3 linked regions of the Sus scrofa genome follow. The protein of the gene in region 3 interacts with the protein of the main gene of each other region in a pairwise test. Links are inferred from orthologs where the notes say so. Each region holds a gene or a part of one and is shown on either strand. Other genes may lie near its edges.

Evidence for each region. The genes of interacting proteins can lie anywhere in the genome.
Region 1: the proteins of UBA3 (region 3) and IMPA2 interact in binary tests that used the Homo sapiens proteins (3 or more experiments, as listed by UniProt). The two-hybrid records come from large-scale screens. The link is inferred for Sus scrofa from reciprocal best matches to the Homo sapiens genes UBA3 and IMPA2.
Region 2: the proteins of UBA3 (region 3) and CPNE2 interact in binary tests that used the Homo sapiens proteins (3 or more experiments, as listed by UniProt). The two-hybrid records come from large-scale screens. The link is inferred for Sus scrofa from reciprocal best matches to the Homo sapiens genes UBA3 and CPNE2.

The regions. Positions count from the first base shown.
Region 1 is NC_010448.4:97,306,909-97,311,435, reverse strand, and holds the start of IMPA2 (inositol monophosphatase 2), read left to right. Parts: upstream 1-1,706; 5' UTR 1,707-1,812; coding exon 1,813-1,908; intron 1,909-4,527. UniProt on the Homo sapiens protein: Phosphatase that can use myo-inositol monophosphates, myo-inositol 1,4-diphosphate, scyllo-inositol-1,4-diphosphate, glucose-1-phosphate, beta-glycerophosphate and 2'-AMP as substrates in vitro.
Region 2 is NC_010448.4:19,045,152-19,049,615, forward strand, and holds the start of CPNE2 (copine-2), read left to right. Parts: upstream 1-1,643; 5' UTR 1,644-1,874; intron 1,875-4,464.
Region 3 is NC_010455.5:50,487,848-50,491,622, reverse strand, and holds part of UBA3 (NEDD8-activating enzyme E1 catalytic subunit), read left to right. Parts: intron 1-2,891; coding exon 2,892-2,935; intron 2,936-3,551; coding exon 3,552-3,616; intron 3,617-3,775. UniProt on the Homo sapiens protein: Catalytic subunit of the dimeric UBA3-NAE1 E1 enzyme. E1 activates NEDD8 by first adenylating its C-terminal glycine residue with ATP, thereafter linking this residue to the side chain of the catalytic cysteine, yielding a NEDD8-UBA3 thioester and free AMP.

The DNA of each region.
Region 1 (4,527 bases), on a different chromosome or scaffold from region 3:
TGGGAACAGAGAGAAGGGGCCAGCCCTGAATGGGCACTTCCTGTGTGCCAGGCCTTTTAAACAGCTTTTCGCCTATGTCTCAAAAACAACTTGATGAAGGTGGAATGTCCACTTTACAGATGTGCACATGAAGACAAGGTGAAGTGTGCCCAGAGGTCCCAGCGGCAGCCGCCTGGAGTGCTGTCTGAGGCCAGAAGCTGCTCCTGGCGTCTCTGGAGGGGAGAAGGAAGTGTGAACAGTCCAGGCCGGGAGTGGACTATTGGAGATGGGGTGCAGAGCTGACCTAGAGTCAGGTGAAGGCGGGCCAGGAGTTCATCTCAGGAAGGTCACCCTGGGGAGTTTCAGGAGCACGGAATTGGAAATAGTGTTCATTTAGTTTACAGACTGTGCCTTGCAGGTAGGACTGTAACAGAATGAAGGTGGCTGGTTACTGAAGTACAGTTTGTCTCCAGGGTCTAAAGTATAGGATCCACAGGCATAGAGTAGCACTAAAGAGTGAGCTGGGGACATGGCACAGGACAAAGGAGTCTCCCCAGAAAAGCCAGGCAGAGCTTGGAGAGTGGCACACCCAGGGGAGCCAAAGGACCTCACATGTTACCCTCTTTCTCAATGGGACCAGCAGGAAAAAGCACATTTTATGGTGGAAACCAAAGAGAAGGAGAAATAATCCTGCAGAGAATGTTTCCTGCAGATGATTCTGCCAGAACAGAGCTTTAAGGGGTGTCCGGGGATGTTCTTTGTTGTGGGACCTGCACAATGCTGGGTGATAAATGTACAGCATTTGTTAGCAATCGCTTGTCTGCCTTAATTCAGCGTCTTAACGTTATTTTGCTTGTTGCTGGGAGTGATCGCTAATGAAAACCTGCTGCAAAGATCAACTCTGAATACATTTGAAGTGAGGCATCCAGGGCACAGTCTTAAGGATTTTCAGAAACCAACTCCCTCTTGGGACAATCATGGAAAATATGAACAAGAAAGATGGAGCGGAGCCTGCCCTCAGCCGCCGCAAACCCACCGTAGGGGCAATTCTCCATCCAGGTTTCCCACTTGCAAGGTGAGGCGACCCAAGGACGAAGCCCTACAGCTCCGCTTAAAGCCTCCGTGTTGTCTGTTTGCCTCTACAAGTTGCTCCGGCGCTCGGTGGTCACAGACGAAAGCTGACGGTGTAAGGAGCGACCCCCGCGGGGTCCTCGCGGTCTCGGACCGCAGGCCGGCTCCACGTGGTCAGCACAGGTTAGAGGGTGCCAGGCAGCTCCTGAGCGCAAGCTCTGGGTCTGGCACTAGCGCCTGCAGCAGTCGGTTCCTGCCCACGCGGGAGCACGAGAGCAGCAGCTGTTCCGGGGGTCTGCTTAGGGAACATTCCTGGCTCATCCATACTCTCCGCGGGGAGCGCGGGCCCGGGGCGCTGCTGCGGCTCCTAGCCCCGCCCTTCTTCCGCCACGCAAGCCCGCGGCTTTCCGCAGGAGGGACCGAGCGCCCTCCAGGGTTCCTGGAGCAGTCGGGGCGGGGCCTGGGGTTGTTGGGGCGGGGCTCATCGCTGGCAGGGCAGGGAGAGCGACGCAGGCGGAAAGGAGCGGGGCACCAGCGGCGCGGGGCGGGGCCGGGCTCGGCGGAGGCGGGGTGAGGGGCGGGGCTGGGCGTCGCTACCCGCTGGGCGCAGCTCCAGGTCGGGTTCCCGCCTGTGCCCCGCCCCCCACAACGGGCCCGCAAGGCTGCGGGCAGGCGCGGCCCAGCCGCTGAGCAGCAGGAGGTGCGAGGCGATCGCGCAGCCTGGCGTCCGGGCGGGGGGCGCCGGCGGGCCCAGAGGCCGCTATGAAGCCAAGCGGCGAGGATAGGGCGGCGAGGGCCGGGGGCCCGTGGGAGGAGTGCTTCGAAGCGGCGGTGCAGCTCGCGCTGCGGGCAGGACAGGTGAGCGCGGCCCGGAGCGCACGGCGGGCGCGCTCGGACTTGGGGCAGAGTGGGCGCGGGGTGTGGGCGGTGGTTCTGAGACCCCGCGGGCCGGCGGGTCCGGCCACGCTGGGCCAGGCGACCGGGACTGCCAACCGCAGAGGGGCTCTGCACCTCTTCCTTACACCTGTGCACCTGCCGCCCCTGCACGGGCTCCCTGGGTCCCGCGGGTCGGAGACGCGGGCCGGGATCTGCGCGCAGAACTGCCGGGGAGGGTCAGGGCGCTGGAACTGCCTTGGAATTGATCCATTGGGCAGAACGTGGTGCGGTTGCCCTAGGTTAGAACTCCGCCGTGTGGAGGTCGAGCGGACGGCCTCTCCTCGCGCATCCGGAGTCTAGAGGGTTCCTCTCGGTATTTGGAGGAACTGCTACCCACACCGGAAGGGTGAAGGTCGAGCAGCGGAGCTGAAGAAACCTTCGTAGAGCAACCCCTCTCCTCTCACTTTAGTGTGTGTTCTGTTCCCTCATTTCCCTGGTGCCCGACACCTGAGGGGTCCTTAGGCCACGTGCGGCGGCGAATAGGGGTTTGGGCTCTCCGGGACTGTCCCGCGCGGGGTGGGGCGGGGGGAGGCCGGGCGGAGAAACGTCCTCCTCCCGCCTCGCGCGCGCGTAAAGGCGCACGGCTTCGTTCTGGCGATCCCAAGAGGGGGTGGACAGGAGTAGGAGGAGCCCTGCCCGCAGAAGGACTTACTGTTCCCAAATGGTAATTTCTTTTCAGTCTGAAAGTTCTGCACAGGTTGAAAACAGGTTGTCACCCGTCCTGCGTTTGAAGTGAGCCCTCACGTGTGCAGTGATGGTGTGGTTCTTGGAGTGACTCCTCTAATCCCCTAAACGTTAACCTTCAACCCTAGTGGACATCTTCTGTGTGGGAGCCCCCCCCCCCCACCGCCTCAGCCCAGAAGGAAAACACTCCTTAAAGGGGCGCTGGGAGGCTTGATCCTTGGGAAAAGGAGGACCTCAACCTTACCTGCTACTTGGATGAAGCTTGTAACTGCAGGACAAGCGTTCTTCCTGGAAAGCAGCGCCACTGGCCGCAGAGCATACTTGCTTCCCCTCCCTGAGCCCCCCACTTCCTCTCCAGAGTAAACGTATCAGGATATTTGGTAACTTTTAAGTTCCACCATAAGCCTTTTCTTCTTTCAGTCTTTGAGAAGCCAGTTTAGGATTCAGACATCACTGTGTAAACCCTTGTGAGTTATGGGTTTCTGTGGTTTTTCAAATTTAGATCCTTGAGGAAACAGAGAGTTTTTGAAACATTTTTTATACAAATTTCCCAACGCTTACATAGACCTTGCAGTGTGGCGGGCACCATTCTAAAGGTCTTAGGAATTTTAACTCAGATAGCTTCTGCTTTTGCAACTTGCTGAGGACAGAAAAGGCTGTTTCTGAGAGTAGGGGAAGGGTACAGTAAGGATTCTGACATCAGGAGTCTGGTCAGGGGGCCCAGGACTCTGGGCTCCCTCTTGGGCAGTATGCTGATGCTGCCTGTCTGCTGGCTGCACAGTGGCCCGGAGAGTGGCCAAATGGTCAGTGGCTGAGACAAACAGAAGCCACAGGTCATCCTAACCTGTGTAAAGAGGGACAGATTGTCTTCACCATGTTCTGGCAGTAATAGGGTGCTGATTGGACAAGACCTGGCCTGGAGGGAGCCAAGGGGCTGATCCTTTGGTGCCTCCCTCAGCCCGGGGGAGGGGGGCGAGGGGGTGGATGCAGGTGCCATAGCCTTGTGGCCAGACACGCCCACCCCTGGTTTCTGCTGTTTTATTGTTTGCTGCTCTCAGCTGCTCCAGAGTCTGGGTTCTGCACACTCAGAGGTACAGGGAGCAGAGGGAGGGCCCTCTGACTTTCAGACTCTGGTTCTGTTAAGGGTGGCCCTAGATGATTTGCTGTCACCTCCCAGCTGCCCCATCCTGAGAGGCCTCCCTGCCCCAAGTGCCGCCCTCTCCAGGAAGGCCTCCATCACCCATTTCTGTGGTGCCTCTGGGAGGCATCACTTCCAGTCCCAGCAACCCACCACTTCAGTAGCCCTTCCCTGGCTCTTGAGCCAGCCCCACCCCATCACCACCACAAATACAAAGAGCAATATTCATCAAAATGGGTATTTATCATCTTTATGTGATGGGTGAACAAACTATCTTAGCAAATTATGCTGTTTAAGTTGCCCTGCGTATGATCCAGGCCTTGTTGAGCCTGAAGTTTAGACAATTTAGGGGCCCTTTTTAAGAAAAAAATACAAAATTACAAATTCAAAATTAGAGGTAAAAATGGTTTATTCAGGATAAGAAAGATCACAACAGTATACATTTTAAGATGCCAACAACTATAAAAAAATACATAAAAATAATTTTTAACTGCTTCTCAATCTTCTGTAATACTTTTTCCACATTTTTTGTCTTCATAGCCTTTGCATCTTTGAATGATAATGATTTTGTCATACTTTCTACAGAGACTAGAAAGATAAATTCAGGCTTTCCTGTAGCATGGCTAATTGAAATTAATTACTGATAGCTTTAAAAAGTTTAGGCTTTCAAACTTGTTGTTGATAGGATCATGTAAATTTTCAGATCACCATCGATTTTA
Region 2 (4,464 bases), on a different chromosome or scaffold from region 3:
CCACTGAGCCATGATGGGAACTCCAACATTCATGTACAAGTTTTTGTATAGAGGTATGTTTCCATTGTCCTTGGGTAGATACCTAGGAGCGGAATTGCCATGACCCCTGGCCATTGTACTCCATCCCCTTGGCCAAGGATATGGTGTCTTTCCCCCCCGCCCCCCACAGCAGGCCCAACTACCTTATCCTTCTTCTAGAGGAAGCCTTGCTGACTCCCATAGCTGATTCAGGTCTTCTGATTCACCTTGCCTCGAGTTTTTGCACCTTTCATACTGTATTACGATTGCAGGGGTGGTGGTTTTAGCCCTGTGAGGTGAGCAACTTGAGGGGAGGGACTTTCTGCTTAGGTTCACCACTGTCCGTCCCAGTGCCTGGCTCTTCTGCTCTGGAGCAAGGAGAGGAGAAGGATTCTGGGGGCCATATCAATCAGGAAAGGCTTCCTGGAGGAAGAGGGGCTGCAGCTGGGTCTCAGAACACCTCTGGATGGGTTGGCCTCACAGCTGGGCTGAGGGCTCTGAGGACTTGATGTGGAGGAAAGATTGGGAGAGCTTGGAGAAAAGAGGGATGGATGGGAGGTGGGGGCAGGCAGGCAGAGAACAAAGCTCAGAGCCCTGGGGCTGTTTAACAGCCGCCCTCTAAGGCTGCAAAGTGCCTGTGACTCAGACTTGGAGGGAGGTTCACTGGCTGCAGCTGTGAGCCTCCCAGTTAACCCTCACCTGCCTGACGGAAATCCCACAACCCAAGCACTGCGCGTTAATGCCCAGCTGCCCAGTCCGGGAGCCAAGGGCTTTGGACGTGGCCCTGAGATCTCAGAGACAGCTCTGTCCCCCACAATCTGGTTAAATGAGGCTCCGCTGTCTGAGGCACTGGATTGGGTAGAGGGACTGAGGGAGCGGGCATATAAAAACGGAGTGGCCTGCAGCACGGGAGCCCAGCGACAGGCGAATTTCTGAAGAATTGCTCCCTTGTCTAGGGCAAAGAAGGCCGCCGCAGAAGGGCGGACTCGGCGCCAGGGTCACAAAGGGCCCGCCTAATTGCCCTCCGCTATAGGCACTGTTCGAACTGTCTTATCAGCTCTGTCCCAGAAATACGTATGTGTCATCTTCCCAGTCGCAGCGGCAATAAGAAAACGCCGACCTCTTTTACTACTGGGGGGAGAGGGGGAGGGAGCAAACAGCGGTCCTAGTGCTGCCAGTATAGCCCAGAACCAGACCCTCGAGGGCGCAGCATCGAGCCCGACAGCCCTTGGAGTCGGGGCTGCAGGCGGCGTCCTAGGGCCCCGCAGGCCGGGGCTGAGCCCACCCCTCGCATCCCGCGTCGGCGGCCCTGAGAGCCGGGTGCAGGCTACTCGGAGGCGCCGGCGGCTCGGGCGAGGCCAGCCTGGGAAGAGTGAGAACTAGCGGCGTACCGATCCGCGAAGTCCTAGCCTGGAACGTTCGGACCCTCGGATTCCAGCCTCGAATACTCGGGGCCCCGAGGCTCTGATCGCTCAGAGTCCCGAGGCGCGCCAGCGGCGGGCTCCAAGCCGCGGGCGGCGGGCGGGACAGCGCCCCCGCTCCGCCCGTGGGAGAGCTCGCCCCTCCAGGAAGCGCCCGCCCCGCCTCCCACTTCCCTCCCCACGCCCCCCCCTCCCTCGGCCGAGGGAGGAGCCCGAGCTGCCGCCGCCGCCCGCCCGGCGGGCCGGGGAGGAGGACCGGACCGCGAGCGGCTGGGAGCGCACGCGAGCTGGCCACCGCTGCGCGGGCAGCGCCTTGAGCCCGTCCCGCGCCCGTGGGCCCGGCGGAGCAGGGGAGCACCCGAGGATGCCCTGGTGGCCCGGAGCACGGGGAGCGGCAGCCACGCGGTGAGGGCGGCAGCGCCCGCGGAACCCGCGGTGAGTGGGGCCCCGGCGGGCAAGGGGCGGGCGGGGCGCCCTGGCGCGAGGGCTCAAGTTCGGCCTTGGGGCTCGGCTTCTGGCGCCAGCGGCTGCTTGGAAGGAAGTTAGGTGCCGCCTCCCGGGTGGCACAGCCCAAAGCCCCCAGCCATCCGCGCGCCCCGACCCCAGCGTTTGGATGACTCAGCTGCGACCCGGCCACGCGGGGGCGCTCCGGCTTCGCCCCGACCGTGGGGTAACCGAGGGCATAGTGCCTGGAGGATGGTGGCGCCCTCGGGGGCGAGGCGCGGGGGTGGGGGGGCTCCGAGCCCAATGGTTTAGGGACCCTCCTACCTCCCCCGAGGAACTGGGGGCGTCAGGAAGGTGGAGGCCCGCCACCTTCGCAGCTTCGGAAGTCCTGAGGTCGGGCTGGCCCCGCTTCTCGCCCTCTCGCCTCGCTCCCTACCCGGGCATCCCCGGTGCCGCAGGGAACTGCTCCAGAGCCCGCTCCCAGCTCGCGAAGGGGGAATAGGAGAGGAAGTGGAGCTGGGCAGCTTCCCAGAAGTCGGAGTGTGTTTGCAAACTAGTTTTTTTCCCTGCAAAAACTGTCTGGCACCTGTGTGTTTGGGGCGGGGGAGGGGGGAACGTGGAGAAAGAGCAGAGCCCTTTCTTCCTTCCCAGTCCCTGTTCCCCCGAAGCGCTGCTTCTCTGTAAATAGAAGATTCTTACTTTCCTCTTCGCATCCCATCCCCCAGCCTTGTCGAACCACCCCCTTTGGGGAAGGGGCTCCTTCACAGGGGGCTGTGATTTGCCCAAGGTCACAGGTGGAACTGGAACCCGGAGCTTTGGTAGCCAGTTAGAGGTTCTTGCTGTCTGCGACCCCGCCAGCCCTGTTATGTACTGGAGGAAGTGACAAGGGCAAAGGATCTGGGAGAAATATCCAAGTGGCCCTTTGTCCGCCTTTAGTTTTTGCTTCCCTAGGACTGTGGACTGTTAACTGAGGGAGGTAGGGCTTTTTCTGTTTCATGGGGGCACCCACAGCTTCAGTAATTGGAGAGAGGAACCAGGTTGTAACCTTCCAGCAGCTGCAGCCTGCTTGTGGTCAGCCCTGATGGGGAGATGTGGGACACCTGGGTTCAAACACCTCCTACCCAGGCCCAGACCCTCCTCCTCCCTGAGCCTCCAGGTCCTTGTCTGTAAAATGGGCTAACAGTCCAGGGCCTGTGCATGCAGAGGCCGGTGCCAACATAAAGGAGTGGTTTTATTGCATTCTTTCTGGCAGGGGGCCCAGTGAGTCCTGGGACTGCCCCAGGCATGTGACAAAGCTGGCCAGAGTGGGAGGGGTCACCCGGGTAGTTGTCTCCATGGAAAGAACCAGGGACTAAGAACGTGGACACTTGGGCCCTCCTGGTCTGCTGCCACATCCTATTTGCCTGCCTCGTCAGTCGTAGGGCTTGAGGGCTTTTCCACTGGTAAAATGAAGCAAAGTATGACACAATCGCGTTTACAGAGCTGCTAGGGGGCTAGAACCGGTACAGGGGACAGGTGTCCTGCAAAGTTAGGTGCACGGGTGGTCAAGGGATCGCCCTCCCAGAGGCCATTCTTATTAAAAATTCAGGGGCAGAGTAGCTGTGGTGCAGTGGGTTAAGAATCCAGTTGCAGCAGCTCAGGTTGCTGCAGAGGTATGGGTTCAATCCCCGGCCCAGCGCAGGGGGTTAAAGATCTGGCATTGCCACAGCTGCAGGGTAGGTCACAGCTGCAGCTCGGATTCTGTCACTGGCCCCAGGAACTTCCATATACTTCAGGTGCAGCCATAAAAAAACAAACCAAAAAAAAACCTCAGGCGTAAAGAGAGGGTCAGGGATAGAGCCTTTGTTGCCGTACCTGGAAAGTAGTGAGAACAATACTCTACCCCCTTGTGATCTTTTAGGGTAGCTGTGTCTTTCCTTAAAGGTAGTTGTGAGGGTTAAATTACATGACACGGGCTCGTGGGCCTGCCCTGTGACTGGTGTGTGAGAAGCACTCAGCATTAACCGCTTAGCATTATTTATGGGAATATTAGGAAGCCCGAAGTGGGTTACTGATTTAGGATTCCTTTTGGGATTTTTCTCAGGCCAGCTCACTCCTCTCTCTCCCGCCTCCTTCCTGGAGAGGGGAGCCTCGGAATCCACAGGTCAGATTTCTGGGTTGTCGCAGGGACAGGACCCTGACGAGCAAGGTGCCACTAGGCTGAAGGTCGATGGTGGATCCACCGGGGTGTTCCTGTTGCCCCTCGTGGGGCTCTGAGGACGATGGACAACAGAGGAGCCATTCTCTACAAATTCCCTCTGGGGCATGGTCTCCAGGCCAAGTCCCCTACTGAGAAGCCCTCAGCCAGGGCCAGGGTCCCATCTGCCTGATGGAGCTCTCCCTCGTCTCCCTCCGCTCACCCAGCAGGGACGGTCACTTCTGGAGTGCGGACCCCTGCAGGGCACAGGGTGGGCTCCTTGGGAGCCAGGAGGCCGGGTCACCCTAGGGTCTTGGCAGGCAGCACCTGGAGAAGGCAGTGATCACCGCCCCCTTCCCAACATCCAGAAGGAGCATGTGGAGTCCCAAGGGGATTCATGACTTC
Region 3 (3,775 bases):
GCTGACGGGAAATGTAAAATGATATAGCCATCAGGAAAATAATTTGGCTGTTTCTTAAAAATCTGAACAGGTACCATCCATATGACTAAATTTCATTCCTGGGTATTTACCCCAGAGAAATGAATACTATGTCCACGTACAAACTTATTCTCAAATGTTCACAGCAGCTTTATTTGCAGTACCCTCTAACTGGAAACCACCCAAATATCCATCACTAGGTGAATTGTTAAACTGTGATAACAGCCACACCTTGTAATAATACTGAGCAATAAAAAAGAATGAAGTACAATTAATGAAATATGACTTGGATGGATATCAAGAACATGATACTGAATGAAAAATGCCAGTGTCTATAAAAGTCATATATTGTATGATTACATTTATATAACCTTCTTCAAATGACAGTTATCTAGATAGAGAACAAATTAGTGATTGCCAGGGATCAGGGATGGTTGAGGGGATAGGTGTGACTGTAAAAGGGGTAGCTGGAGGGAGATCTTTGTGGTGATGAATAGTTGTGTATCTTTATTGTGGTCACACAGTTTTACATGTGGTTGAATGACAACCTTACACACATTGTACCCATGTTGTGTTTGTGGGTTTGATATTGTGCTGTAGGTATATGATGTAACCATTGGGGGGAAACTTGAGTGAAGGAAATGTGGGACCCCTCTGTACTATCTTAATAAAAATAAAAAAGTTCAATAATGTGAATACAGATCTCTATAGGGAGAAACAGAGGGTTTTTTTTTTTTTTTTTTTTTTTCCCAAGTGTTCACATTCTTTGTCCATCCCCATTATTTAGATCTGTGAAAATTTGGGTGTTTTGTAGAACTCTAGGAGATGGGATTTCTTGGCCTTGCTCCTCTATCTCCTATTGTTCCTTCATTGTTTGCTCTGGTTCTCTTTTGACCTGCCTTTTCTTTCTTTCTTTTTTTTTTCCTAGCCTACCTAACATTTTATTTTATTTTATTTTATGTTTTAATTGATATTTCCCCAATACATTTTTTTTTCTACTGAACAGCATGGTGACCCAGTTACACATACATGTACACATTCTATTTTCTCAGATTATCATGCTCCATCATAAGTGACTATAAATAGTTCTCAGCACTACACAGCAGGATCTCATTGCTAATCCATTCCAAAGGCAATAGTTTGCATCTATTAACCCCAAGCTCCCCATCCACCCCACTCCCTCCCACTCCCCCTTGGCAACCACAAGTATGTTCTCCAAGTCCATGATTTTCTTTTCTGTGGAAAGGTTCATTTTTGCCATGTATTAGATTCTAGATATAAGTGATATATGGTATTTGTCTTTATCTTTCGAATTTCCTTCACTCAGTATGAGAGTCTCTAGTTCCATCCATGATGCTGCAAATGGCATTATGTCATTTTTTTTATGGCTGAGTAGTATTCCATTGTGTATATATACCACATTTCCTAATCCAATCATCTGTTGATGGACATTTGGGTTGTTTCCATGTCTTGGCTATTGTGAATAGTGCTGCAATGAACATGTGGGTGCCTGTGTCTTTTTTAAGGCAAGGTTTGTCCAGATATATGCCCAAGAGTGGGATAGCAATAATAGTGGGTTATATGGTAGTTTTATGTATAGATTTCTAAGGTACCTCTATACTGTTCTCCATCGTTGACCTCCCTTTTCTAGCTGTAGTTTTTGTCTCTTGTTTGTCTGGCATTCCAGAGGAATAGAGGTCTGAGTGGGTGAGAACTAGAATTTTCATAACTTTATTTTTAGGCTAGAATAAAAAAATCTAGAGCAAACGTATATTGTCCTTGTTGCTCCTAACAGAAAAAAAAAAAAAAATTTGTTGTAGATATTCTGTTCAAATGCTACGTACTGTGATTCACATTCCCCACCAATTTGGATGGGGTTCCCTTGGCACCCTCCAGACTGGGGAAGACTGCTGATAGGGTGTGGGCTGGGTAAGGAGAGAGAGATTTGGAATACTGAGTTAAACAAGAGAGGGAGAAAGAATTCATTGACCACCCCCAAACAAAACAAAACAAAACCCAATGACCAGTAAGTACTTGAAAAAGCTTTTAAAACATCTATTTTTAAAAATTATGTTTATTTAAAAAATTTTTATATTTTCACTTTAAGGTCTGTACCTGTGGCATATGAATGTTCTCAGACTAGGGGTCTAATCAGAGTTGCAGCTGCTGGCTTATACCACAGCGTGGCAATGCCAGATCCGAGCCACATCTGCAAATTACACTGAAGCTCATGGCAATGCTGGATCCTTAACCCACTGAGCAGGGCCAGGGATCGAACACACACATGTCCTCATGAATTCTAGTCGGGTTCGTTACCACTCGTTACCACCACAACAGGAACTCCTCTGTTTTTTTAAAATTAGCTTTGTGGTAACTTTTTTTTTCTACTTGATCTTATCTGACATATAACATTGTATAATTTTAAGGTGTGCAATTTGTTATTTTGTGTAGTATATTGACTCCTAAAATCACCTTTCTAAAATGGGAAATACAATGTCTGTTTCCTTTACTAAACAAATGTTAATTGCTGCTTAGCTTGGTCCTGGTGGTTGAAGATGTGCATTCTGCTTTCCTGGGGCTTACAGTTTTATATAAAAACTGAAGCAGAATAGAAAGTATAGCAGAGACAGAATTATAATGATGGGGATTTGGAGATGAGAGAAGCTAAGTAGTTAGGGGAAGAGTGTTTAGGAAAAAGCTTTTCTGAGAGCTAGGGTTGTGTTCTTTTTGTCAGATTCCTTGAATTCCATTGCTTTGAACATTGATGACTTATGTCTTGTTTTAAATATACATTTATAATGTGATCCTTATGGCATTGTCAAATTCACTTTATAAGATAAAAACTCAGCCTAAGTTCCTTTACTTGTATTCAGACATTTCAACAAGATTCAGGATTTTAACGACACTTTCTATCGACGTAAGTTTTCCACTTGAAGTTAAATTCTCCCTAAATTCTTACTGTTTTTAGTTGCTGTTTATTTGAAGATTGGTAGCTTTTTTTTTCTTTTTTTGTCTTTTTTAGGGCCACACCCGTGGCATATGGAAGTTCCCAGGCTAGAGGTCAGATTGGAGCTGCAGCTGCCTGCCTAAACCACAGCCACAGCCATGCCAGATCCAAGCCACTTCTGCAGCCTACACAGCAGCTCATGGCAATGTTGGATCCTTAACCCACTGAGCGAGGCCAGGGATCAAGCCCACATCCTCATGGGTACTAGTCGGGTTCGTTATTGCTGAGCCACAATGGGAACTCCTGAAGATTGGTAGCTTTTTGAAGGCTGTTTCTTTCTTTGCCTTCATTTCTTGGTGTTGACTTTTCAGGAGGTTGTCAATTGATCGGAAAGGGAATGCCACTGTTTGAATTTCTAGTTGGCATTGTTAGCCACATATTTGTATTCTGTCTTGAGTAAAGATTACTCAAGGATTAGAAGCTGTGTGTGTATTACAGTGAAAAATGGGTTTGTTTGTTTCTTAGAAATTGAATTATTTTGTGCTGTGATACTTTAAAAAACTAAATTTGTGTTTTTTTCTTGTAGAATTTCATATAATTGTATGTGGACTGGACTCTATCATAGCCAGAAGATGGATAAATGGCATGCTGGTAAAGACTTAGTGTTGTTACGATTCTCTAAGGTTCTTGGTGCTGCTTTTAACAGACTGAAAACGAGACTTTCATGACATATTTTTGAGAAATCACAGTTTAATTTTTAATGATAGACATAGTCCAGTGATTATATTGCCAGTCATTAATTTTCAGGTG